Ovis aries: one gene and its partners. The protein of the gene in region 3 binds, or shares a complex with, the protein of the main gene of each other region. Links are inferred from orthologs where the notes say so. Each region holds a gene or a part of one and is shown on either strand. Other genes may lie near its edges.

What was found. The genes of interacting proteins can lie anywhere in the genome.
Region 1: ARHGEF6 (region 3) and PAK1 share a complex: the UniProt entries of both Homo sapiens proteins name them as parts of the cytoplasmic complex. The link is inferred for Ovis aries from reciprocal best matches to the Homo sapiens genes ARHGEF6 and PAK1.
Region 2: ARHGEF6 (region 3) and DCP1A share a complex: the UniProt entries of both Homo sapiens proteins name them as parts of the cytoplasmic complex. The link is inferred for Ovis aries from reciprocal best matches to the Homo sapiens genes ARHGEF6 and DCP1A.

Annotation. Positions count from the first base shown.
Region 1 is NC_056074.1:16,258,466-16,266,558, forward strand, and holds part of PAK1 (serine/threonine-protein kinase PAK 1), read left to right. Parts: intron 1-1,231; coding exon 1,232-1,428; intron 1,429-3,856; coding exon 3,857-3,994; intron 3,995-8,093. UniProt on the Homo sapiens protein: Protein kinase involved in intracellular signaling pathways downstream of integrins and receptor-type kinases that plays an important role in cytoskeleton dynamics, in cell adhesion, migration, proliferation, apoptosis, mitosis, and in vesicle-mediated transport processes.
Region 2 is NC_056072.1:47,779,869-47,787,961, reverse strand, and holds part of DCP1A (mRNA-decapping enzyme 1A), read right to left. Parts: intron 4,252-8,093; coding exon 3,502-4,251; intron 1,576-3,501; coding exon 1,510-1,575; intron 1-1,509. UniProt on the Homo sapiens protein: Necessary for the degradation of mRNAs, both in normal mRNA turnover and in nonsense-mediated mRNA decay. Removes the 7-methyl guanine cap structure from mRNA molecules, yielding a 5'-phosphorylated mRNA fragment and 7m-GDP.
Region 3 is NC_056080.1:98,533,474-98,541,566, reverse strand, and holds part of ARHGEF6 (rho guanine nucleotide exchange factor 6), read right to left. Parts: intron 6,805-8,093; coding exon 6,679-6,804; intron 5,116-6,678; coding exon 5,095-5,115; intron 3,988-5,094; coding exon 3,894-3,987; intron 2,805-3,893; coding exon 2,715-2,804; intron 500-2,714; coding exon 400-499; intron 1-399. UniProt on the Homo sapiens protein: Acts as a RAC1 guanine nucleotide exchange factor (GEF).

The DNA.
Region 1 (8,093 bases), on a different chromosome or scaffold from region 3:
TAGAGTCTTCTCTTGTGCTGTTGGAAGAGGGTGTTGCTATGACCAGTGAATTCTCTTGGCAAAATTCTATTAGCCTTTGCCCTGCTTCATTCTGTACTCCAAGGCCAAATTTGCCTGTTACTCCAGGTGTTTCTTGACTTCCTACTTTTGCATTCCAGTCCCCTATAATGAAAAGGACATCTTTTTTGGGTGTTAGTTCTAGAAGGTCTTGTAGGTCTTCATAGAACCATTCAACTTCAGCTTCTTCAGCCTTACTGGTTGGGGCATAGGCTTGGATTACCGTGATATTGAATGGTTTGCCTTGGAAACAAACAGAGATCAATCTGTCATTTTTGAGATTGCACCTAAATACTGTATTTCGGAGTCTTTTGTTGACTGTGATGGTGACCCCATTTTTCCTATGGGATTCTTGCCCACAACAATAGATAAAATGGTCATCTGAGTTAAATTCACCCATTCCTGTCCATTTTAGTTTGATGACTACTAAAATGCCTATGTTCACTCTTGCCATCTCCTGTTTGACCACTTCCAATTTGCCTTAATTCATGGACATAACATTCCAGGTTCCTATGTAATAGTGCTGTTTACTGCATCGGACTTTGCTTCTATTACTAGTCACATCCACAGGTGGGTGTTGTTTTTGCTTTGGCTCCGTCTTTTCATTCTTTCTGGAATTGTTTCTCCACTGATCTTCAGTAGCATATGGGACACCTACAGACCTGGGGAGTTCGTCTTTCAGTATCCTATCTTTTTGGCTTTTCATATTGTTCATGGGGTTCTCAAAGCAAGAAGACTCAAGTGGTTTGCCATTCCCTTCTCTAGTGGACCACATTTTTTCATGCCTAGTTGTAGATGATTAGGGTTTCATGCCTGAGAAATTAAATAAGGACCTAGTAACCAGATACTGGTATATGGGGATGGTTTTCAGGAAGAAAGCAGAATTTGGGTAGGTAATAAATGTCAAAATGGGCAGCTTAGCCTTTAATGCTAATGTTTATGGTTTGAGGAGGAGTAGGAAGGCAGAAATGATGTTTCATGTGCCTCCTTAAAGTCTGACCAGGGCACAGCCTAGGAGCTGGATATGAAGGTGGCAGTTATGTGACTCCAGCTTTGGAGAGACAAGGGATGTAGTGGTTAGGACACTGGCAGAGCTTGATACCTTGGGGTAGGCACACAGTATTTACAGAAGAAACACTCTGCATATGAACCGCTTCTGTCTTTTCTTTTTCAGCTGATTTTGGATTTTGTGCTCAGATCACCCCAGAGCAGAGCAAACGCAGCACCATGGTGGGAACACCATACTGGATGGCACCAGAGGTTGTGACCCGGAAAGCCTATGGGCCTAAGGTTGACATTTGGTCCTTGGGCATCATGGCCATTGAAATGATTGAAGGAGAGCCCCCATACCTCAACGAAAACCCTCTGAGAGTGAGTGTTACTAGTCCCATATCAAGATGTTTGGGCTGTTGGATTTCTCTTTTCTGGATCAAACTAGGCAGTGATAAAGTATACATGCTTAAAGAAAATGTAAATTAGCAGTCATTCATTCATATATTCAGTGATTATTTGAGTTCTAATGGGCAAGAAACTGTTGTGATAATAATAAAACAAATTAATATATAGTAACAGAAGATAAGAGCTGTGAAAGAAATAGTAAGGGGCTTAAGAGAGTAAGAGGAGGAAGGACAGAGAAGTATGCTGTTTTATTCTAGGTGGAGAATGAATTCCTCTCTTATAAGTTATCTGAGGAGACATCTGAAGAAAAAAAAGGAATGAAAAAGTAAAAAGAAAACTGAAAAAAGGAATGAGTTTTGAGATTAATCTGAAGTAAGAATTTTCAAGTTATCAAGTGTATAAAGAACTTGTTTAGAGAACATACTTGATACATCCTTGGGAAAACCAAGGAGACTAATGTCCCTGAAGTGAGTGAGCAGAGTGGACAAGGTTCTGACCATGTTAAGTTAAAATGTTTATTAGACATCTTAAATGGAGGTATTGAGTAGAATTGGGCATAAGAGTTCAGAGTTCAAGAGTGAGCATTCAGGACTCGAAATACAAATTTATTAGTAGGTATTATATGGTTGGTTTATTTAAAAATCAGAGGTAGATGATAATGAGATCACACACTTAGGGAAAGAGGTAGTACTGAGACCTGGGATACTCTCATATTTACAAATTAGAGGAACCAGCAAAGTTGATCAATGGGCAGCCTTCCTGGTAGAAGGAGAACTGAGAGATGTGTCCTGGAGGCCAAGAGGACAAGTGTTTTGAGAAGGAGGATGGACCAGTGTGTCAAATGTGACTAAGTTGCATTTAAGCCAATGCGAAGTAATGATCATTAGATTTGCCTGTGTGAAGGTTGTTGATGACTTTGACAGTCAGTTTCACTGGAGTGATGGGAACAAAAGCCTGATTAGAGTAAATCCACCAGAGTGAAGAAATGACATGTATAAGCAGTTACTTTTCATCGTTTTCTTTCAGAGGAATTTTGCAGTTATGCTAACAGAGAAGTGAGTGGAGCCATATCTTGAAGTAGCGACTAGGGGGGTTTTCTTTTTTTGTTTTTTGTTTTGAAGATGATATTATCATAGCATGTTTTTGTGCTGATGAGAATTATCTAGTAGAGAGGAAAATGGTCATGTACAAGAGGGATGTGACGTCTGTAGGAGAGATAGTGATATCGTTAAGTAGATCGGGGGGTTGGATGAAGTACTGAAGTAAAGATCATCAAATTAGAACTTGGACAGTTTGTTATTATAATAGGAGAGGGAAAGCAGTGTAAGTGAATACAGATACAAGTAGGTTGATAATTTTGATCATGGGCAAATGTGAGAGTTATTCTGATTGTTTTTATTTTGTTATTTATTCCAACCTCTCACTCAGTGCAAGAATTCCCAGAGTTTTGTCGCTAATCAACAGTCATGTAGTTTTAGCCAGTTACCTCTTGGATAGCCCTGATTATTGAAAAGTGTTTTAGTGTACCAAACTGAAACTACCTTCCATAGTTTCTTTCCTTGCCTCCCAGTATTGCCCTGTGGATCCACATGCCACTCATCTTCCTCCACCTTAGAGTGGCCTTGAAAATGATGATGATTAGTAGTAACAGAAATGAGACTGGGATCAAAGTCAGAGGACATAAGCTTGTGTAAACAGCACAATCCCAAGCATATCTCTTTATGTTTTAGGACTTTATCTGTGAAATGGGGATGATAATTCTTGCTCTGCCTATTACCCAGAGTTATTGTGGTCATTAAATGAGATAGTGTTTGTGTAAACACTTATGAAATAAAGTTCAGATTGCTTTAAAAGGTTTAGTATGATGTTTTTCTTTATCTTTCCCAGGATATGGCTTCATATTAGAGAACCAAGATGGCAACAGTGAAACAGATTGCTCCTTTACAGACTAGTTCCTTTATATATTCTTTTCCTGCTAGAAGAGATCAGTTTTTAGATGACTGAGATGATGGCACCAGGAATAATAAATTTCCTTCAATAAATGGGCAGGTGTTTAACTCATTAGGCTAAATGTATAGTAAACCATTTAGATTTAAATCAATAATAATAAATCCTTGGATCTGTAACACACTTCATAAGCTTATGAAATGCTTACAATATGTTATCTTGTTTTATTTTACAGACATGTGAGATAGGCACTGTTATCATCCCTGTTTTACAGACGAGGAAGTTAGAAATTCACTGGAAATTTGGCTCTTAAGTCATATTCTCTCCATTATACCAAAGCTGCCTCTTTGTCTTCTGAAGGCAGAAAGCAGCCGACCATATTTCTTCGGGGCCTGTCTGGGAACCAGGAAAGAATCCCAGGTAGAGCCCAGGGCAATTCTGTTTGTATTTCCAGGCCTTGTACCTCATTGCCACAAATGGGACCCCAGAGCTTCAGAACCCAGAGAAGCTGTCAGCTATCTTCCGAGACTTTCTGAACCGCTGTCTTGAGATGGATGTGGAGAAGAGAGGTTCGGCTAAAGAACTGCTGCAGGTAACTGTCCCTATGTAGGGAGGCACCTAATTCAGAGAATCACATAATGAAGGCTTTTTTGCTGCATTTTTGTATGGCTGTTATAGAACTAGGCTTTTCTCCTAGCACGTCCCACACTCCTATTTCCCTCATCTTGTTCATCCCTGGACCTTTGCTGATGTTACTCCCTTGGGCTCTTCCTCAGCCTATTAAAACTCTGTACTTTTCTAGGCTGTATCTTACAGAGTTATTTTCTGAGCTCTTATTGAACTTTGCCTATATCTTCCTTTGGTGCTTGTTATGTTCTGCCTGAATTAGTCTAGCAGAGTTTGAGTCTTGATGAGAAGAAATTTTTTGACATGCAAATCTTATACAAGGTATATTTTACTGGGATAAACTCAAAAGATAGATTTTTAGGAAAGGATATCAGAAGACATTCATTTAGAGGATAGTTAGTGCAACATTTCAAGTCTTCCCAGTTTCTTCATGGAAACCCTTGCAGATGGTGGGAATGATAGTCTGCTTGTTTGTTCATTTATTTCAATTTTTTGGCCATGCCACATGGCATGAGGGACCTTAGTTCCCTGACCAGGGATCAAACCTGTGCCCTCCTGCAGTGGAAGCTTGGAGTCTTAACCATTGGATCACCAGGAAGGTCCCTATAGTCTGCTTGTTTGGAGTGAGATCCTGACAGGCTGTGGGGAACCTGAAGTTGGGGGTTTACCAAGCCTTATATATTCCACCAGCTTAATCCTGAAGTTATAGCATGATTATTTCATATGGTTTCAAAATTTGCTTTTAGTTGACCACATTATCTATATTTAGCATTTATGTTTCAGTTACAATTTCTCATTACTAGTGTTATTTTACTACATTGCCAACTGGTGATTTAATAAGTGTGACATGCAACTTACTGACGATGAGAAATGTGTAGATTTGCACAGTCAGTCAGTATACAAAAGTCATAAAACTTTTGTATTTTGAGGACTAACACAGGGCAGGGCAGGGCAGGATGTACCATACTGCATCAAATTAAAGCTAACTATGAACAATTCTGTCTTCCTTACTGTTAGTAGATCATAACTTCTATGTTATTAATCCTTGGTTTCCTCTTACCTGGGACCTGAATCAAAATAGGTATTCAGTGGGAGAAAACATTTGCAAATGATATCACTGATAAAGCATTAATATCCAAAATATATAACCAGCTCATACAGTTCAGGAAAAAAAAACCCTACAAACAACCCAGTTAAAAAGTGGGCAGAAGACCTGAATAGACATTTTTCCAAAGAGAAAATGCAGATGGTCAGCAGGCACATGAAAAGATGCTCAGTATCACTAAGTATCAGGGAAATGCAAATCAAAACCACAGTGAGAAATCACCTCACAGCTGTCAGAATACCTGTCATCAAAAAGAATCCAAATAACAAATGTTGACAAGGATGTGGAGAAAAGGGAACCCTCCTACACACTTGATGGGGATATAAATTGGTACAGCCAATATGGAAAACAATATGGAGGTTTCTCAATAAACTAAAAATAGAACTATGATATGACCCTGTGGTTCCAGTCCTGGGTATATATATGAAAGAAACAAAAACTAATATGAAAAGATACATGCAACTCAGTGTTCATAGCAACATTATTTATAATTGCCAAGATATCTAAGTGACCTCAGTGTCCATCAGGAGATGAATGGATGAAGAAGATGTGGATGAATACCGAAAGTGAAGTCGCTCAGTCATGTCCGACTCTTTGCGACCCCTTGGACTGTAGCCTACCAGGATCCTCAGTCCATGGGATTTTCCAGGCAAGAATACTGGAGTGGGTTGCCATTTCCTTCTCCAGGGGTGGATGAATACTGCTCAACCATAAAAAAGAATGAAATCTTGCCATTTGGAACAACATGGATGGACTGGGAGGATATTATGCTAAGTGAAATAAGTCAGACAGAAAAATAAATGTTGTATGACATCACTTATATGTGGAATCTAAAAAGTAAAATAAACTAGTGAATATATAAAAAAGAAACAGATTCACAGATATAGAGAATAAATTAGTGGTTACCAGTGGAGAGAGGGAAAGTGGGGGAGGGACATTATATGGGTAGGGTATTAAGAGACACAAATTATTACATGTAAAACAAGCTGCAAGGATATATTGTATAACCCAGGAGATATAGCCAATATTTTATAATAATTATAAATGGAACGTAACCTATAAAAATTGTGAATCACTATATTTTATACCTGTGATTTATGCAGTGGGCTTCCCTAGTGGCTCAATGGTAAAGAATCCTCCTGCCAATGCGGTAGATGCAGGTTCGATCCCTGGGTTGGGAAGATTCCCTGGAGAAGGAAATAGGAAGCCACTCCAGTATTCTTGCCTGGGAGATCCCATGGACAAAGGAGCCTAGCGGGCTACAGTCTACAGAGTTGCAAAAGAATCGGACATGGCTTAGTGATTAAACAACAACAACTTGTTGTTTAATCTTTAAACTAACATTGTATATCAACTATACTTCAATTAAAAAATAGGTATTCAGAAGATGTTTGTTGAATTGAATGGAATTGCTTAAACCTTCATTGAAATGTTACCTTCTGTAGATATTTAGCATCTCTTTGTAATCAGAGTTACTGACTACAGAGCATTGATATATTAGATATGAGATCTGGGTTCTACCAAACCCATTAGTTTCTAGCATCCTTTGGGACAAAACCTTATAACAGGCAGGTTAGGAGCCTTTTCCTTTCATATGAAGTTTTTTCTGGAAACACCAAGCTTTGGGAAATGTGCAAATAGTCTAAGCCTCAAGATGATATTGTTAACTAGGTATTAAAACATAGTTACGGAAAGATTAATGTCCTCTCAAGTTTTTTTCCTGGTATAGTAATACATGACAAATAATAAATGCATTGTGATGAATCTTTACCACATTCTAGGCACTAAGGATTTTACATATTTTTTAACCTATTCTTTTTTAATAAACCTGTGATTTATAGATTTTTGTATTCCCATTTTTACAGGTGAGGAAACTGAGATTTCAAGTGTTCAATAACTTTGCATGATTAAAAAGTAACTGAGAAGTAGTGGACCCAGGATTTAAATCTGTGTGTATTTGGCTCTCAAGTGTGTATATTCTTGGCCACTGCCTGGTTCCAAGTGTTAAGCTGGAAAGACCTTAGGGCTTATCTTGTCTGATTTGTTCATTTCACAGAGAAGAAAACTGAGGCCTCCTAATTGGGTGTTGGATCATGCTGCATTCTCAACTCAGGGGAGTTGTATAAACATGCAGTCTGAGAACACTGACTCTTTAACTTGTTACTGTACATTGTAAATATTCTAAACAATGACTTTCAGAATCTCAGATCATGAAAGCTTCCCATCTGTTTCTCCTGTGAGAACGATATATATGGATAGAAATACATAGGGGCTTTAGTTGGAATTCATATCTTCGTAATTTAGCCAAGACCTTTTATTCCTTTTGTAGTAATAGTTTCTTATTCTCAGTACCTCTTTGAATCCCATCTCTGTTCAAAAAAAATTTGAAGCACTTCTAGCAAAGAATATTTGTAGATATTTCTATATTTAGAAATATAGAAATTTTACAATTTAATGTGTGTATACACATATACAATATGATTAATAAAAGAGACTTAGGATGGCCAGAAGAATCAAACATACTAATCATTTGTGTTAAATAATTTTGTTTAAACATCAAATTTGGTTCTTAGTGTCCTGGTAGTGAAAACAGAAAGAAAATACGTTAGTTCCTATGTTTCTTATCCAAGGGGAAAAACAGCCTATACCCTCAAGACACAAAGCCTTTTCACTAGTAAATGAAGAAAAGTCATTTTTAGTTGTGAGTTCAGAGTTCTGTGATGATCATTTTCCGTAATGTTTTTTTTACTGAAAACATAAAAGTAATTTGCAAATGGTGTTTTTTCCACAATGGTCTTTAATGGTTGTGGGTATGGCCCACAGTATAGCCCAGTGAAAGTTTTTTGGAAAAGGACCAAGTCCTTCCTGGGTTAATTAACCTTACTAAACTCAAGGATAGAACAACAAATTCCCAAATCAGTTCTTCTGAAATGCAGAATTGGAGTGTACCATTGGGTCA
Region 2 (8,093 bases), on a different chromosome or scaffold from region 3:
GATAAGGGTGGCCCCGGGCTGTTATGAGACGCCAAGCCCCATCACTACAGAAAGGGAATCTGATAAGGCACAGTAAGAACAGTCCTGAGATAAGTTGAATATGTCAAGTTTTCCCATGAGGGACACAGAAATGCTTGGAGGAGGGTGTGAAGGAACTATCTGAGGTGATGGAAGTGTTACATAACTTCTCACTGCCCAAGAGATATATGTGTATTAAAACTCAATTCAAGAAATCTGCATTATACATAAATTTTAATTCAATAAAAAGAATTATATGAAGCATCAGTTATATGAAATTATTTGAAGCATTAGTTTCTTTAGTTGTGTTCAATGTATTTATTATGCCACCACAGTCATCAAAGACACAATTTTAAAAACATAAAACTAACATTTACCTCCTTCTTTCATTTAGAGATACTTCTGGGCTAACAATGGCTAACCAGCAGAATACACAAAAGAGTAATAATATTTTTTTTTGAAAGTGAAAGTTGCTCAGTCATGTCCGACTCTTTTAGACTCCACGGACTTGTATAGTCCATGGAATTCTCCAGGCCAGAATACTGGAGTGGGTAGCCTTTCGCTTCTCCAGGGGATCTTTCCAACCCAGGGATCAAACCCAGGTCTCCCGCATTGTAGGCGGATTCTTTACCAACTGAGCTTTGAGGGAAGCCCTTTTTTTTTTTTTACTAATTCTCATATTTTGATACACTCAACAAGAAAACTATGTATTTTTTCCCTCCTATCTGTCACCTTCCTCATTTATAAAGAACCAAAGCTGTCCGTAGCTTTGAGAGTGCAGTTTCTGGGTTCTGAGCCATCTGTGGTTATTTTTGGTGCAACACCGGGCTGAGAGATCACCAAGAAGTGGTAAGCCGATCACCACGCAGCAGGACAAGCTACAAAGAAGACCTGCTAAGACCAGTCAGAAGGTGGCTTTTGTTTAAACTCTTAGGCTTCAGGAGAGGTGTTAAGGCTCAAAGGCAAAAGGAACCTAAAAGTTTAGGAACTGAAAAAGATGAGTGTGCCTGTCAAAGCTGGTAGGGAATGGAGGATGAGGACAAGTTGTAAAAAATGAGGCAGGGGAGAAGAAGCAAGGCACAGAGCACGCAGGCCTGGGAGGTTCTGTCAACAGGGCAATGGGAAGCCATCGAGCAGGGTGGTGACACTGCCTTGTTTACTGGGACACCATAGTTCTTCCAGGGCAAAGACTGTCTCCTATCCATAGGGATGGGGCTGACTTGCTCTCAGCAGTCGCCTGTTCACAACACAGAGGGAGTGAGTGAGCACCCCTGCCGTGGCCGACCTTGCCCTCCCATACACACATTCAAGGAAGACATCACTGAGGACGGATGACTTGAGGACTGCAGAGGCCACAGCAATGAGCTCTGCCTGCGGGAGTTGGAGGGGACATGTAAGAGGGGCCTAAGTTTGAAAGCTGAAATGTTTCACTTTACACTCAGCAGAAGAACTTAAGACATACTATGCTCTTTAGAAAAAGGGGATCCTTACCGGGATGGCACTGGATAACACCTTAGGCTGGGCAAAAACTTCAGGATCCTGGTTTTGCTGCATAGACTGCAACGTTTAAACAGAAAAGATGAACAGATGTAGCAACTTTTCATTAAAGATTTCTTAGTTACTGGGGTAAAAATCTAGGTTAGCAGCTGTAAGGAGGAGTTCAAACATGACTTGGTTCCTAGATTCCTGAGGGAAGTGGCTGACCAGAATTTGTCACAATGCAGGATAGGAGCTTCAGGACAGCCCCCAACCCTCTTCAGTTCCACTGGAGAAAAGGGGTGTGCAAAGCCTTGAAAACGTCTCTACAGAAAAAGCTGAAACCTGGGTCTCTTATAAGAGTGGGGACAGACCAAGCATATTTTGCTGTTGAGACTGTAGAGACGCAAGATCCTGATAGCATGAAGCCTCCTGATAGGGTGGTTCACACTCTGACAGGTGGCACTAAACAGTCTCACACAGAGCCACACACTTCCAGATAAATGCTATACCTATTCCCTGGGAGACACAGAAGCTCCTGTAGCAGAGCAAATACATTAGGACTCAGTGCGGTCCCAGGTCCTGAAATTCGATATGGCACATAAACGAGAAAGAACATGTTTGTAAGCTTCCTCTGCCAGAGGCATGCTGGAGAGCAGGGTGCTGTCCCAGAGGCCAAATCTAGAGGGGCGGTATTCAGGACTGCAGGCTGTATTTCTAGAACAACAGGAATAGTGGCAGCAGACACATTTCAGGGATGTTTTATCAAACAGAACATTCTCGCTGCTCCTTATACTGCAGACAGAAACGGCAAATATGACAATTTAATCATGTAACCAGGACACCAGGTTTCTTTTTCTGTACAGAATTTTAACGGAATGGAACAAAGCATTCCATTAACTAAGAGATAATATTATACAGAAGAGCCAGTATTAATATTATTTGGTAAAATGTTCAAGAGCTGGGGATTGTAATGATTAAAGGGCATGAGACTAAAACCTTGAAAGGCTCTACCCCCTTTCAGTTCTGTGATCTTGCACAAGTCACTTCAACTGTGACCTGATTTCCTCATTTGTAAACTCACCAACGTTTTAAGTTACTGAGGGACAAACCTCTTCTTCACCCCGATATCCAAACCCCACCAAGTCCCGCTCATCCTCCTTCTTAATAAATCCACATGTCCACACTGCCCAGTACAGGCCCCCACCCGCTCAAGCCTGGGTGACTGCCCCGACCTCCGTTCTGATGGGTTGTCGTCCTTCTGTCATCCCCTTTCCCAGCGTGCCACCCTTGGCTCATACACTTAAAAGACTCTCCAGGGTCCTCAGAACAAACCTCTAACTCCTTGATACTATTTACAAAATTTTACTCATCACCAATACCTGCTCCCCCATGTTTCTTTACACATAGATCCAGTCACACCACAGCTCAGCAAATGCCCTCTCGTGTCTAGGCTTCTGCACCTGCTACTTTCCTTGCCTTCACACACACTTCCTACCTCTAGGTCTGGCTAATTTCTACTGAGTCTTCAGATCTCAGCTGATGGCCAGTTTCCCGAGGAAGCTTTCTTTGACCTCAGACCTCCAGATGTGGGACGCTCTTATGGCACCCCTAATGCACCTGGCACAAGGCAGGCACTCAGTCAGAGTACTGAGGGAGCAGGGGATGGAACAAAGCTTGGGATAATCTGGATCCATGGTCTTGAGTCAAATAAGGACTCCTAGACGTGTCAGGCAAAAATAAACAAACAAAAAAACGCTAAAATGCACACCCAGGAAGGAAAATACAATTTCTCAGCTTTTATCAGCTGAAATTATTTTGGGAAGTGGAACTGAGTTACACCACCAGTTACCGATGGTTTGGTTGATCACTGCAGGGCTTCTCACCTCTCCTTTCTTCTAGCCCCTTACACACTCAACGGTTGTCTCTTTAAACAACTCTGTCTCCTCTCAATCAAAATCCAGTTTCATCCCACTAGGTTACAGCCACCCAATCTCCTGCCAGTACCTGAAGGGGAGCAAGCACCATGTTGCTCAGGGAGGCTGAGGCTCTTGCTGCTGTTGCTTTAGGGGAAGGCTCTATGAAGCTCTCAGGGGTGGCCAGCTGGCCGGCTGCTGGAGAAAAGCTGGGTGCTGCTGCACCTTTCCCAAGTGACTGTGTCTGTATTTGGTCATGCTGCGGGGTCAACCTGAGTTTCTGGAGAAGATCAACACTTGGGAGAGATGGACTGGTTGTGTTTGTCACGCTCAGCGGGGCCCTGAATGGGCTCTGGCTGGCAGTCAGGCTGGCGTGGCTCAGCTCGGGGACAGGCTGACTCAGGAGTGGAGACCTCTGCCTAGGTGTAGTCTTCACTGTTTGCATCATGGTGGTTTTTCGGGGTAGGCTGGGGGGAGCCTGTCCAGTAGAAGCTTCTGCTGGTAGACTAGGACTTAGCACAGAGTGCAATGGGATGGCATAGCTGGGGGCCTGCTTTTCACTGGACTGAGTGATGGAAGCAGGAGTGATTAGCACCGGGGTGGTGACTTCGGGCTGGACTGAGGGGTGGGCAGCAGGATGGACACCCAGGTTTTCCGACTGGGGGGCCCCTCCAGGCTCAAACGAAAATGGTAGGAATGAGTTGGGCTCTTTCTGGGAGGCATCTCCTGGCAGTTTCTCCACTTCTTCTGAATCCAGACCCACAACTGTTGGCTGTTCCTTTGACAAAGAGGTTCCAAATAATTCTTCCACCGTCAGATGTTTGTGTCCAGATGGAGCAGACTGAAAAACAAATCAAATCACCCAATGAGAGAAAACTCTTGCAAACCAACATAACTAAATTTCTTTTCCATCAACCAAATCAGTTTGCAGAAGCAAGGATAGGAAATGGAACAAGCTGAAGATGTCCTCAGGATTAAGGCCAAGAATGCACCTGGTATCCCCAAGGTGGTGATACACCTACATTTGTAATAAAAATCAAATTTTAGGAACTCAGGTAATAGTTTAAAATTCACCTTTTTTGCTTAGCAAACAGCTGTAAGGTAAAGGGGCAATTACTTTGCTCAAAGTTAATTTGCCCCATGTCAGTCACACATGGTAGGGAAATTACATTCAAGAGGATATGAGGACCAAATGATGATCAAGCAATCCTACCTCTATGTTCATATTTTTTTTTATTAAAAGGCAGGCATTGTACCTTAAGGACTAGGCCTCAAATACCAGAAAATAAATTTAACTATTAAAAAAAAATTAAAGTATAGGTGATATAACATTATATTAGTTTCAGGTATACAACATAGTGATTCAATATTTTTATAGACTGTACTTCATTTAGTTACTATAAAATATTGGCTATATTCCCTGTGCTGTACAATTTATTGTTGTATCCTATTTATTTTATACATAATAAGTTTGTACCATTTAATTCCCTGCCCTATATTGCCCCTCCCAATTTAACCATTTTTTAAATAGCAACCTTCCAATTCCCAAATCACAGACGCTGAAGGAAAAGGAAAGCATTTAAGCCTGAAAGCGTTAAACTTACTTATATTTTAGTGATCTGGTTTACTGATACCACTCCAATGATTCAGAGGAGATATGTTCATACTTCCCACTTGTGAGCTTTCTTGCACCCTCCCTTCAAGCAGTATTGCTGAATTCATTTAACCTTTATTTGCTGGGTATGCAGAGGGTGCCAGGCCCTGCCCCAACCTGGGCCCAAAGGACTCCTTTCATTTATTTTATTTTTTGGCTGCACTGTATGGCTTGCAGGATCTTAGTTTCCCAATCACGGATGGAACCAGTATTCTCTGCAGTGTAAGTGCAGAGTCGTTCCTAACCACTGGACCCTCAGGGAAATCCCAATTACGTAGCTCTTAACCACCATATTCTTTCACATATACATATGTATGTGTATACCCACACACACACACCAACATTTAGATATACCTACTTTAGAAAACACAGATCATATTGGAATGATCTTGCAGAAACTTAGAAGTCTTTTCCGGTAAAGAACACCATGTTATAAGAAAAGGCACAATCAAAAACCAGACATGGAGAAACCTCACCATGAAATACACCTTAGGCTTCGAAAATGATCCAGGTAGCAATTTTTATCTATCTAGTGGAACAAAAACGAACTCTTAAAAAACTGAAACTATCCACACTGACATGTGAAATGTTTCTATACTTGAACTTAAGAACAGGTATGTCTGCTCATTTAAAATCTACTTCATATTAAAAAATGAAGTCAGCTGGTAGTGTGCAAAAGCAGCAGCCAGTTTCCAATTTCTCCACACTGCCTCCCTGCAACATCTGCCAGGCCAGAGACAGATTATTAGACTTTATGGAATAGGGTGTGTGGTAAAGCATTAGGTTTCAGAGGTACCTCACGCAAGGCAGAAGAAATGAGGTTACAAGGCAGTAAGGATTATCACAGACAGAACGCTCACTGTACAGGAGGCCCTGTACTGCACTCTGCATGCATTACTCTATTAATCGGTGAGGGCAGTACTATTATTACTGCCATTTATGGATGATGCCCAAGTACAGCAGAACCAGATGCCAACCTAGTTCTAACAAGACAATCCATATTCTTAACCATTACGCCACAGCACCGTTATGTCCACCGTGCAGATGACAGGTTATCTAATCATCTGAAGGTAATATGATCCTTCGGAAAAGAGAGGTGCAAGTAAGACCTGAATAACTAAGAGCTGGTGGCTGGTCAGACTGTACCAATTTTTGGAAATATGTAACTGGCTGAATTAGTCACTAGAGGCTGAGGGGGCAGAGCATGTGTCTTTACACAAACTCCCCAAAGCTTTATTGTCTCTGAGCTGGTTTGGACAGGACCCGTTCCATTCTCCTCTGCCTCTGACAAGAAAAACTGGCTGCATTCCTTTAGCTGTTGGCTTATTTATTCACGGATTCATCTTCCATCATCCACAGAAAAGGTGAAATTTTATTCTTTGCTCATGTCTGAATATACTTACAGTCTGGATTCTGAGTTCAGCAATGCCTCACTTAAATCAAATTTTAATCTGACCATTCCCTTGTGAAATGGAATTCAGTGAGTGACAGTATGTATGGGACTGAAAAAAAATTTTTTTTAAGAAACTATATCAGGTTTTCCATTGTTCTTCTCTCACCCCACAGCTCTTGCTGTTTACAGAATTTCATATTTCTGTTTGAATTTACTGTGTCCATGTCAGATTTCCGACTCATTAGTGCCCTGGGCACACTAGAAGGTGTGATTATTCTTAACCACAGGAACAAAAAAACAAAAGAAAACAAACTAGGGAAACTGTCCCAAGGAAATTTTAGTAAGTGAATAATGAAACTGAAATAAAATTTAATACTATTAATATTAAGGCTTGACAGCATTATTTGCTCCTCAGCACTAGATGGCAGTATTACTAAACCAATGTACTATTCTGCATACAGGGCTGGTTATGGATCTGAGCTAATTTTAGACAATCATGTGGCTCAACAATATCCAGTTCTCAGTATTTTACAAAATGCTGTCACTTTGGCCTATAAAATGGAGTCTTTTTGGGTTCATTTTTTCATTTGGGTTTCACAGTAAATCTGTGAGTCAGGTACTGCCAGAATCCTTAATCCCATGATTCAGAAATGAAAGGGAAAGTGACTAGCCCACTGGACATTCATGGCTGATAAGCCAAACTAGAAGGAATCTGCTCCTCCACTTGCTCCCTGTCTTAACACATATTCTTTAAAAATTAAATTTTATATAACACTTTCTCTTTTAATATACGTTTGACCTTCAGGATCTTAAATTCAAATACAGTAAAAACGGAGCAAAGAAATGTAGTATACAAAATCTGGTTTAAATAATTTACCCCCTGCATCCCTAGAAACATACATACATTGCTTAGGAATGTAAAATGGTATAGCCTCTTGGAAAACAGTATGGTAGGGCAATTTCTAAACTAAAACTTGCAGTTATGAAATTACCCAACATTTGTACTCTTGGGCATTTAACCCAGAGTAAAGGCAATTTAGGGCTTCCCTGGTGTCTCAGCAGTAACGAATCTGCCTTCCAATGCAGGAGACACAAGTTCAATCCCTAGGTCGGGAAGATACCCTGGAGAAGGAAATGGAAACCCACTCTAGTATTCTTGCCTGGGAAACTGCATGGACAGGGGAGCTAGCAGGCTACAGTCCATAGGGTTGGAAAGAGTCAAACACGATTTAGTAACGGAAAGGACAAAGGAACAACAAAGGAAATGTGTGTACAAAAATCTGTATACAAATGTTTATGGAAATGTCATTCACAATTGCCCCAAACTGATAACAACACATGCGTCCTGTAACAGGTGAATGGTTAAAAATGTTAATTCTACTCAGCAGTGATTGGGAACTATAATATATGCAACAATTTCAATGAATCTCAATGAGTTATGCTGAGTGAAGAAACATACTCCCAAAAGGTTTTATATTGTGTGATTCCATTTATAGAAAATTCTTGAAATGACAGTGTTATAAAGCTGGAGACATATCAGTCACTGCTGGGGTTAGGGATGCCAGAGGAAGGCTAGGAGGGTGTGACATATAAGTCAGTGTGACAACAAATGGGCAATACAAAGGAGTCTTGTGGT
Region 3 (8,093 bases):
GAATCTCAATGGTGGTGTATCTCACTGGATTGCTCTAGGAGTTTAAATGAGGTCAAGTATTGAAAGTCCAGTGCCTGAGCCCATAAATGTGAGGGGCATTGCCATGGGCTGAGGAATTGGGGCTGTGGCCTTCCCAATGCCTCCCAAACCCATCTGGAGCAGTATTCCTTTCTACCCTGAAGTCCCTTCCTGTCCGGGGAGCTGGCTGCCGCCTCTGCCTCTCCTTTCTCCTTCCCTTTGTTGTGGGAGCAGCCCTCCCTGGGCTCCCAACTGTACGATCAACCAAGAGGGCCTCATGCTCTGATGAGGAGGGTCTGCCCTTCAGTGCTAGCTTGGTCTGCCGGAACCTTCTTTCCAGCCCCTGGAAATACCAGAAAAGGTTTAGCCAGCTCTACTCACTTTTCTTCAATGATGGTCTGGCCGTTGCTTCTGGTTTCTTCAACGATGAGTTTCTCCTCCTCGGGGAGTAAGACTTGGGGAACGGAATCTTTGCGAGCACCTACAGACAAGGGTAGCCAGAGGCAGAGGAGGGGGATTACTAGAGGAGACTATTTACTGGGGGTTTGTTCCTTTCTACGATTGTTTTTGAGGGGTCTTTGTTGACGGCATCTGGCTGACTGGCACCCCAAGAGCAGTCACATTTTCTGACGAAATCTTTCTGACATGAGAAATGAAATGGCCGAATACATTGTTTCAGCCCTGGGGGCAGGGGCACATTTTGTATCCAGAAACAATGTGAAAAGGCTGCTGTGAGATTATCCTCAACCAAGGCTCCCTCCTTTCCTGTTCTGCCTCCTCCAAAGCAAAGAGCTGGCCAGCAACCATTCCTCCCTGTCCATCTCTGGGGAATGGCACACCACACTCTGTGTGTTTTGTATTTTAGTAAAAATCATGCAGAACATAGCACTACATGGGGATGCAACATGCTTAAAAAGTCTTCAGAAGCATCATTCACCCCATTTGTTCTCCACCTTACAGGGTGACGCAGAGTCAGTGGAGACTATTTTGATCAAGGGTAGAGTGTGGGTGGGGAGATGATCACAACAGCTGCAAAGATGCAGGCGTCCTGACCACTGTCTGCTCACCATCTCCCTGCTCTGGGATGGAGAAGGTGACAGAGCAGCCATGGGACCTGACCAGACAGCTCTCCTGCACCTCCAACCTCCGCCTCCCTTCTGTATCCTTCCTCTGAGAGCTAGATCCCTAAATCTTCTGTCTCCTTGAGCCACTGGCTTCCTCTCTTCTGAGCCAATTCCCTTCAACTTCTGAACACTCACTGCCTTCACTCAATCTCCATGCTTTCCTCGAAGGGGATCTGTCTCTGTCTTCTGCAGGGCCCAGGACTTCGTAGATGCTTAATAAGTGGGTAGCAGACTGGCTGACTGACCAACCAGCTGGATGCAGCAAGAAACAGTAGGGATCAGTTTTAGGGGAGCAGGACTTTTGGCTGGAGAGGGATGTATGGTGTCGGTCACCATGACACCATGATGCTAAATGGCTTACTGTGTGCCACGCACTGTGCTAGACACTTTCCACACATAAAAGGGAGGCCAGGGAGGAGGAGAGACAATGTGACTCTTGAGGCCAGAATGCCTGCCTGCACCTCTGAGCAAATTTCCTGTGTCTATCAGAGTGAAGACAGGAGGAGGCAGGAGGTGAGGTCAGATATCATAGGAGGGCTGCTGCTTCTAGTGTCTCCTTGTGTCCCTCTCTTTCCTGGTTTCTATGATAAAAACTTCTCTCACTTGCCTTTCCTGGCTCCTGGAATCTTGTTATTAGGGCTAGGCATGCCCAAAGCTGCAGCCAGGTTGCGTCTGAGAAGCACACGGTGTGACACTCTCCCCTTCAAGGTCAAATGTATCAAAGTCCACATAGAATGCTTTTCCCATGATGCCCTTAGAGACATGTCACTTTGACAGCACCCCTCAGGGTGGTTCACTGAGGAAGCCCTGCCCACGCTCAAGCATGGGCTCAGTGGCTGTCCCAGTGGAGCCTTAGGGAGACCTCATGGCTTCTGCAGAGGCAAGACCCTGACACCAGGTATCCTTAATGTCTCTAATAATGAAAGGCCAAGGACATAAGCCATGTGACATGTCTTTTATAAAAGCACAAGGAAGAATCAGAAAACATCATCTCCCTTTCAGGCTGGGGGAAATACCCTCAGCTAATAGGTCCCTGATAAATTGTAGACACTCTGAACAGGCCCTGCTAAGCAGCTACATTTCCAGATTTTCAGAGCAACTCTGAAACTTGAGCTTGGTGAAGCTCTGTTTGCTTAAATATGCAGCTGATCAAAGATAATATTTTGACTTCCTTTCCAAATCTGCCTATAAGAAGAGATTAGCATCAGTTCACAGACACAGGAACCCTTTGGGCTCTTTAATTCCTAACTAGTGTTGGTGAAGGTATTTGTGTACTTCAAAGGAAATTGACTTAAAAAAAAATTTTTTTTTTTCATTTCTATCACCTCCAACTTTTTTTTATTCTTGCATCTCTCTTTCTCTCTGGGTGAAAAGAAATAGTGGGTAAACAAACCGCTTGGTAGCTAAAACCAGCTTATCTGAAAGATGCAGCCTTGTACCCACTCCTCTGCTTCAAGTCACCTGCTTTCCACACCCTGCAGCCCATCTGGGTTGCTTTGCTCTTTTTCCAAGAGGCAGTGAGCAGTAGCGAAGAAACATCACTCATTAGAGAAAGTGGCTGGGGGGACCTACTTGAGCCATGGCCTTGTGGAAAGCTTGCGCTGGTACAGTAGGCTTCAATCACCTTCAGAATCTGAGCATCTTCTTCCAGAGCAGCCGTACCTGTCAAATGTAATGAATTGTGACTTTTCACAGAGATACACACCTCTGGACCCTTGAAATGATGCACGTGGGTGCTGGGCACTGGCTTCTCTGACCAATGGTGTTCATGCAAGGCAGGAGAGAAAAGCTGACCAGCTGTCATGGTGGAGCAAGAGTGACCGAGGAGCTCTGCGGTCAGCACCAGTGAGATCAGCACCGAGAGTGGTCTGCTCTGGAAGCCACTCGGAACACTAAATTAGAGGGTCTCCCAAGTGTCTCAGAGGCTTCAGGGCCAGCACTGGGCTTGGCGCTGGCCTCAGTTCTTAGCTGACACACCACACCCTTCCTCTCCATCAAATTTCAAGGCTCACCTTCTCTAAGGAAGCTTTCCACCAGTAACATAACACATTTTTTCCCCAACCAGCCAGGCTAGTCATTGATTCTCCCTCTCCTCTCCAAGCCCCTCCAACTCATCCTAGAAGTGACTATTAACACACTCATGTGCACAGACCTAGGAGTGGGGTGGGGGATGGGGGATACAGAAGCTAAAGTCTAGCAAAGGTTTATCCAGACTATCTCTGACTGATACGCACAGCTCTGTCACCCATTTAGGAAGCGTCACTTACTCCTTCATATGTGTCCCAGAGTGCCTTGTTCCCAGCAGCAGAGGCAAATGTGTATGTACCCACTGGCTGACCGACTTTGCAGTCTGTCTCTAAATCCAGCCCTGTTTCTATATGACAGCAGGCAGATTCCTTGACTAACTGAGAACATCACTGAACATTAAACTCCCTTCAGGTCTATTGAGTGAGTCTCAGTAAAGGCAAATATCTCAGGCATTCAGAAACTAAGAACGGAAAAAAAGTATCCACTGCAAATAGGTCCCTTTAGTATTTCTAAACCAGGTAAGGCCGAACAGTCAACACGAAAACCATACAGGTGAAAAGCAGCCGGAGACAGCTTATTCCAAAGTCTTAGAGGAGGCTAAGCCTTCACATGCGTTTTTCCCTATGGGAAAGATGACGCTGAGAACATACTGCTCAAATCTTCTGCTTTCAAAAAATTCCTCATCTATAATCAACTTTCGAAAAATAAAAAACACATACATACTTTTCCGGATGACATACTCCTCCTCTGATGGTTTTCTTTCAGTCTTTCTTTTATGAAGAAACTTCTTCATCGTTTTGGGGCTTTTACTAGACTCCTATAAGGGTAGAGATTTCTTCATGAATTAAGGTTCTCGCCCCTCCCACCCCCCGAAAAAAAAATTTAAAAAGAGCAAATGAAATTAAGTAGAATGGCTCTCTGATTTTTACAGTTTCACTTAGGAGGGAATAAAAATTTAATGCTAGACACAGTAAAAGTGGCTCCAAGAATGGCATGGGCCAACTGCAGATGCAGGAGGCAAAGTGCCTTTAGGGCACAATCTGGAGAGATGGTGATGGATGCCATTCCTAGAGAAATAACACTACTCCTAACTGGGTTTATACTTCCCACTGATACAGTTTTAAGGGAATGAAATATCAATGATAACTCTTAGTGGGGTATAGACCACTTTTCAAAGAGCTTCAAAACTAATAAATTCTCCTTAGCAACAGTCCCACAAAGAAGAATATCAACTTCCACTGGCCAGACAGGAAAATTAAGGCAGAGAGACTAAGTACATTCCCTGTATTCAGAGAGAATAGCCAAATGAAAGATTTCCTGATAAATAATGTGGGGTTACACGTAATGTACCAACAGCCAAGCAAGGCATATTTTTAATTAGCAGATAAAAGATATATGAATTGTTGGATTTGCCATATGAATAACCAGAAAGTCTAAAAAGTGCTCATTAAGTATCCGAGTAAACAGTGATCATCTTATTTCAACCTTCCATGCTATGTATATACAGGATGAATGGATAACAACTGCTACCTTAAAAATAAATACGACAAAGAATTTAATTTCTTCCTATTAGCCTCAGTGATGTCCTTAGAAAGCAGATAGACATGAAAAACTCACATGTGACAAAAATAACAGGAAAAATAGAAATAGTGAAAAAAAAAAGCCCATGGAAAACAGACATTTTACATGCTGTTTCTATTTTCCCTGTTACTTTAGTCACACGTAGTTTTTCATTTTTGTTCATATTTCCCAAGAGCCTACTTTTTTGAAGAAAGTACTTACATGTCAGAAATGTATCTTCATATTTTAGCTACCAATTGTAAAAAGGGACAAAACAAGCATAAAGGAAAGCTTCATTCATCAAAGATTACAGCACAGCATTAAATGATGTCACTGTACACCAAAGATATTGTTCTACCCTTACCTTTAAGATATAAGACATCCTCTAAAGTGAATATGTAAAGAAAGAGAAGATGAGCGTGAGAGGTCGATGGTTATAGTGACCAAATCCATTTATCAATAATTCTAAAACAACATTTGAAATGTTAGTGTTATCATAAATTACACAGGGAAAATATCATCATGTTTCCCACATTAGTTTCAGATGCAATATCGTCATGCAAAAGCCCAAGGAATACAGTTCTGTGAAGAATTACAAATGCTGAAAATTACTGAAATACACACTATATAGTAAGAACATATTAATAACTCACTTCTCCCAGCAGAAACAAAGTGATCATGCCTTAGTTTTAATGGATTAGTTCTGTGAAGGATTAAGTCAACTTTACACTTCAAAGCTCACCTTAATTTGAATTTAGTAACTGACAATTACAAAATATCCATCATTAAAAAGGGGACTTAGGTAACTATGAAGTGGCACTCCTGGTTAAGGTAATCAGAGGAGAAAATTGGATGATTGCAGGAATCACCGATCAATTTCCAAAGCCAATCTCTGGGGCTGTTTTCTGGCCAAATTCTGAATAGAGGTACATAATAAAGATTCAGCTCAAGGATTATTTTCCTATCATGTCAGGTTGAAAAGATCAAAAAATCCTCTTGTATCCAAACATTGTTCTACTTTTACTGCACTAAGCATTGGAGGCAACAAGTGAAACAATGGCATGGTGTTTTAAATCAAAACAAACTCAAAACTGAGCTAAGTCTGTGTTACGCATCAAAAACACACATTTGGTACAAAAACATATGCTGCCTTGGCACCGTAATTCTAAGACACATCTCATAACTGTCACAAACTTAAATCTTCATGCGTTAATACCTATTTAAAGAACAGTTGCTAATAAATGAGGATCTTTTCTGAAAGCTGAAATGATGAGAACCATGCTAGGGAAAAAAAAAGTTTGGATGGAAAAGGTAACACTCCACACAGTTTCAGAAGATAGTGACTGGCATTTCCTGACTGCAACTTCGAGACAAGAAAAAAAAAAAAACAACTTGAAATCCCCATTCTACCCAAATATCAAATGTCCTCTAGGCTTGTTGCTTAGAAGCCTCTTTTTTAAAGACATTCCTTTCATTAAATTCTTTCTTTCCAACTGCAGCAAATAATTCAGACTTTCATAGTTCAGACCCAGGGTTTGGTCCCAGATTTGGTTTCATAGATCAAAATGATTAAAAATGCAGAACTGGGTCTGCTTGGTTAGCAATTCCACGCTAATGAAGCAACTTTTGTTTGAGATGTGTGTACATCATGACCAATTTATAGAATTATCATATCATCATAAAGGCAAACCAGGGGCCCTTCAGGAGGAGACTGGAGAAACTCAGGCAGTGCACAGAAAGCCTGTGGGTATTTAAGATATATGTGTAGATGGACAATGGGGAAATGAAAAATTAAGAAATTAAAAAAAAAAATCACTGAGTCTGGCAACTCAAGACTGACTGACTGTATCACCTACCATCAATTCTAGCACATCCCCACAGAACTATTTTTAATAAGCTACAAAATCAGCTTGTCAGAAGCATTTTATACCATATGTAGCAAAATTACCTCTTTATAACCTAGTGCTGCTGATGGTCTAAGTGGAGGTGCAGGTCGTAGACAACTTAAGCTCCACGGTTTTATAATTTGAGGAGGCTCCAAGGGTCCTCGGGGCTGTCCAGTAGAGCTAAAAGACTGGGAAAATGGCTGATGAGATGGTAGCAATTGGCCATATGAACCCAACCCTGGGCCACACACTGAAAGAACAGCAATAGCTTGGTTGGATCTGAAAAGCCAGGCCCAGAAAGGAAAAGATGGGAAAACAAGTCTCCAGTTGGAGAACTGGCATTCTCCAGTCAAGACCTGGGCCCTCAAAGGAACAGCACAACAATGACTCCACATCCCATGAGCCTGCCCTCCCTCTGTCCTGCAATTTCATTCAAGTCAGATGTTTTCTTTTTCCCCTGAAAGGGAGGAAAGTGGAATAACAGTCAACATTTAATGAGTTCAGTTATGTGTTTGGCACTCAATTAGGTGCTTACATAGGTTATTTTCAGAAAAGCTGAAGGCAAACTTTAGCAAAGCGAAGTAACCAGTCAGCAATCGGCAAAGTCAAGATTTGAACCCAGATCTGATGCCAAAAGCCCTTTTTCTTCTCACAACACACTATGCTCAAAACTGGAATTTGGGCATCACAGGTTTGAATGTTAACAGACGACACAGCACATCTTCAGTCTCACTCAGCAAGTACAGTAAAATCTCATCAATTCAAATTCTGTGAACTCTGTGATAAAGCAGAAGGAGGCAGCTCTCAAAGTTTACCCTTAAAGGTTAATGAAGAAATGTGATAGCATAGATGGGATTGCATGGAGATGTTTCAGTACTTAAGAGGGTAAACTATCTCTTTTGCCTTAGCACATTATCAGTACAAGCACGCTGTTGTTGTTCAGTTGCTAAGTTGTGTCTGACTCTTTGCGACCCCATGGATTGAAGCACCCCAGGCTTCTCTGTCCTCCGCTATCTTCCGGAGTTTGTGCAGATTCATGTCCATTGAGTCAGTGATGCTATCTAACCGTCTCATCTTCTGTCACCCCCTTCTCCTTTTGCCTTCAATCTCTCTCAGCATCAGGGTCTTTCCCAATGAGTTGGCTCGGCGCATCAGGTGGCCAAAGGATTGGAGCCGAAGCACTGATGAGCATAACGGTTGCTAAGTAAAATACATCCTGTTTATCACTAAAACATCTTAGCAGGACTTCTGGTTAGAAAAACTCTGCTAGCAGTTCAGTTGGAGTATAACTGTCAAATAAGGCTGCATATCTCAAACTCTGTGTTAATTGGGATAGGCCTCCCCCATAACAAGAAAGCAGAATTAATGAGGTTTGACTGTACTTCTAATCCTACAAATCCAAACTATCCAAAGGCTAAGGGCATGCTCACCACTCTTGTAAGTCCTCAGTAGGCAGGATTTGACAAGAGACTCAATA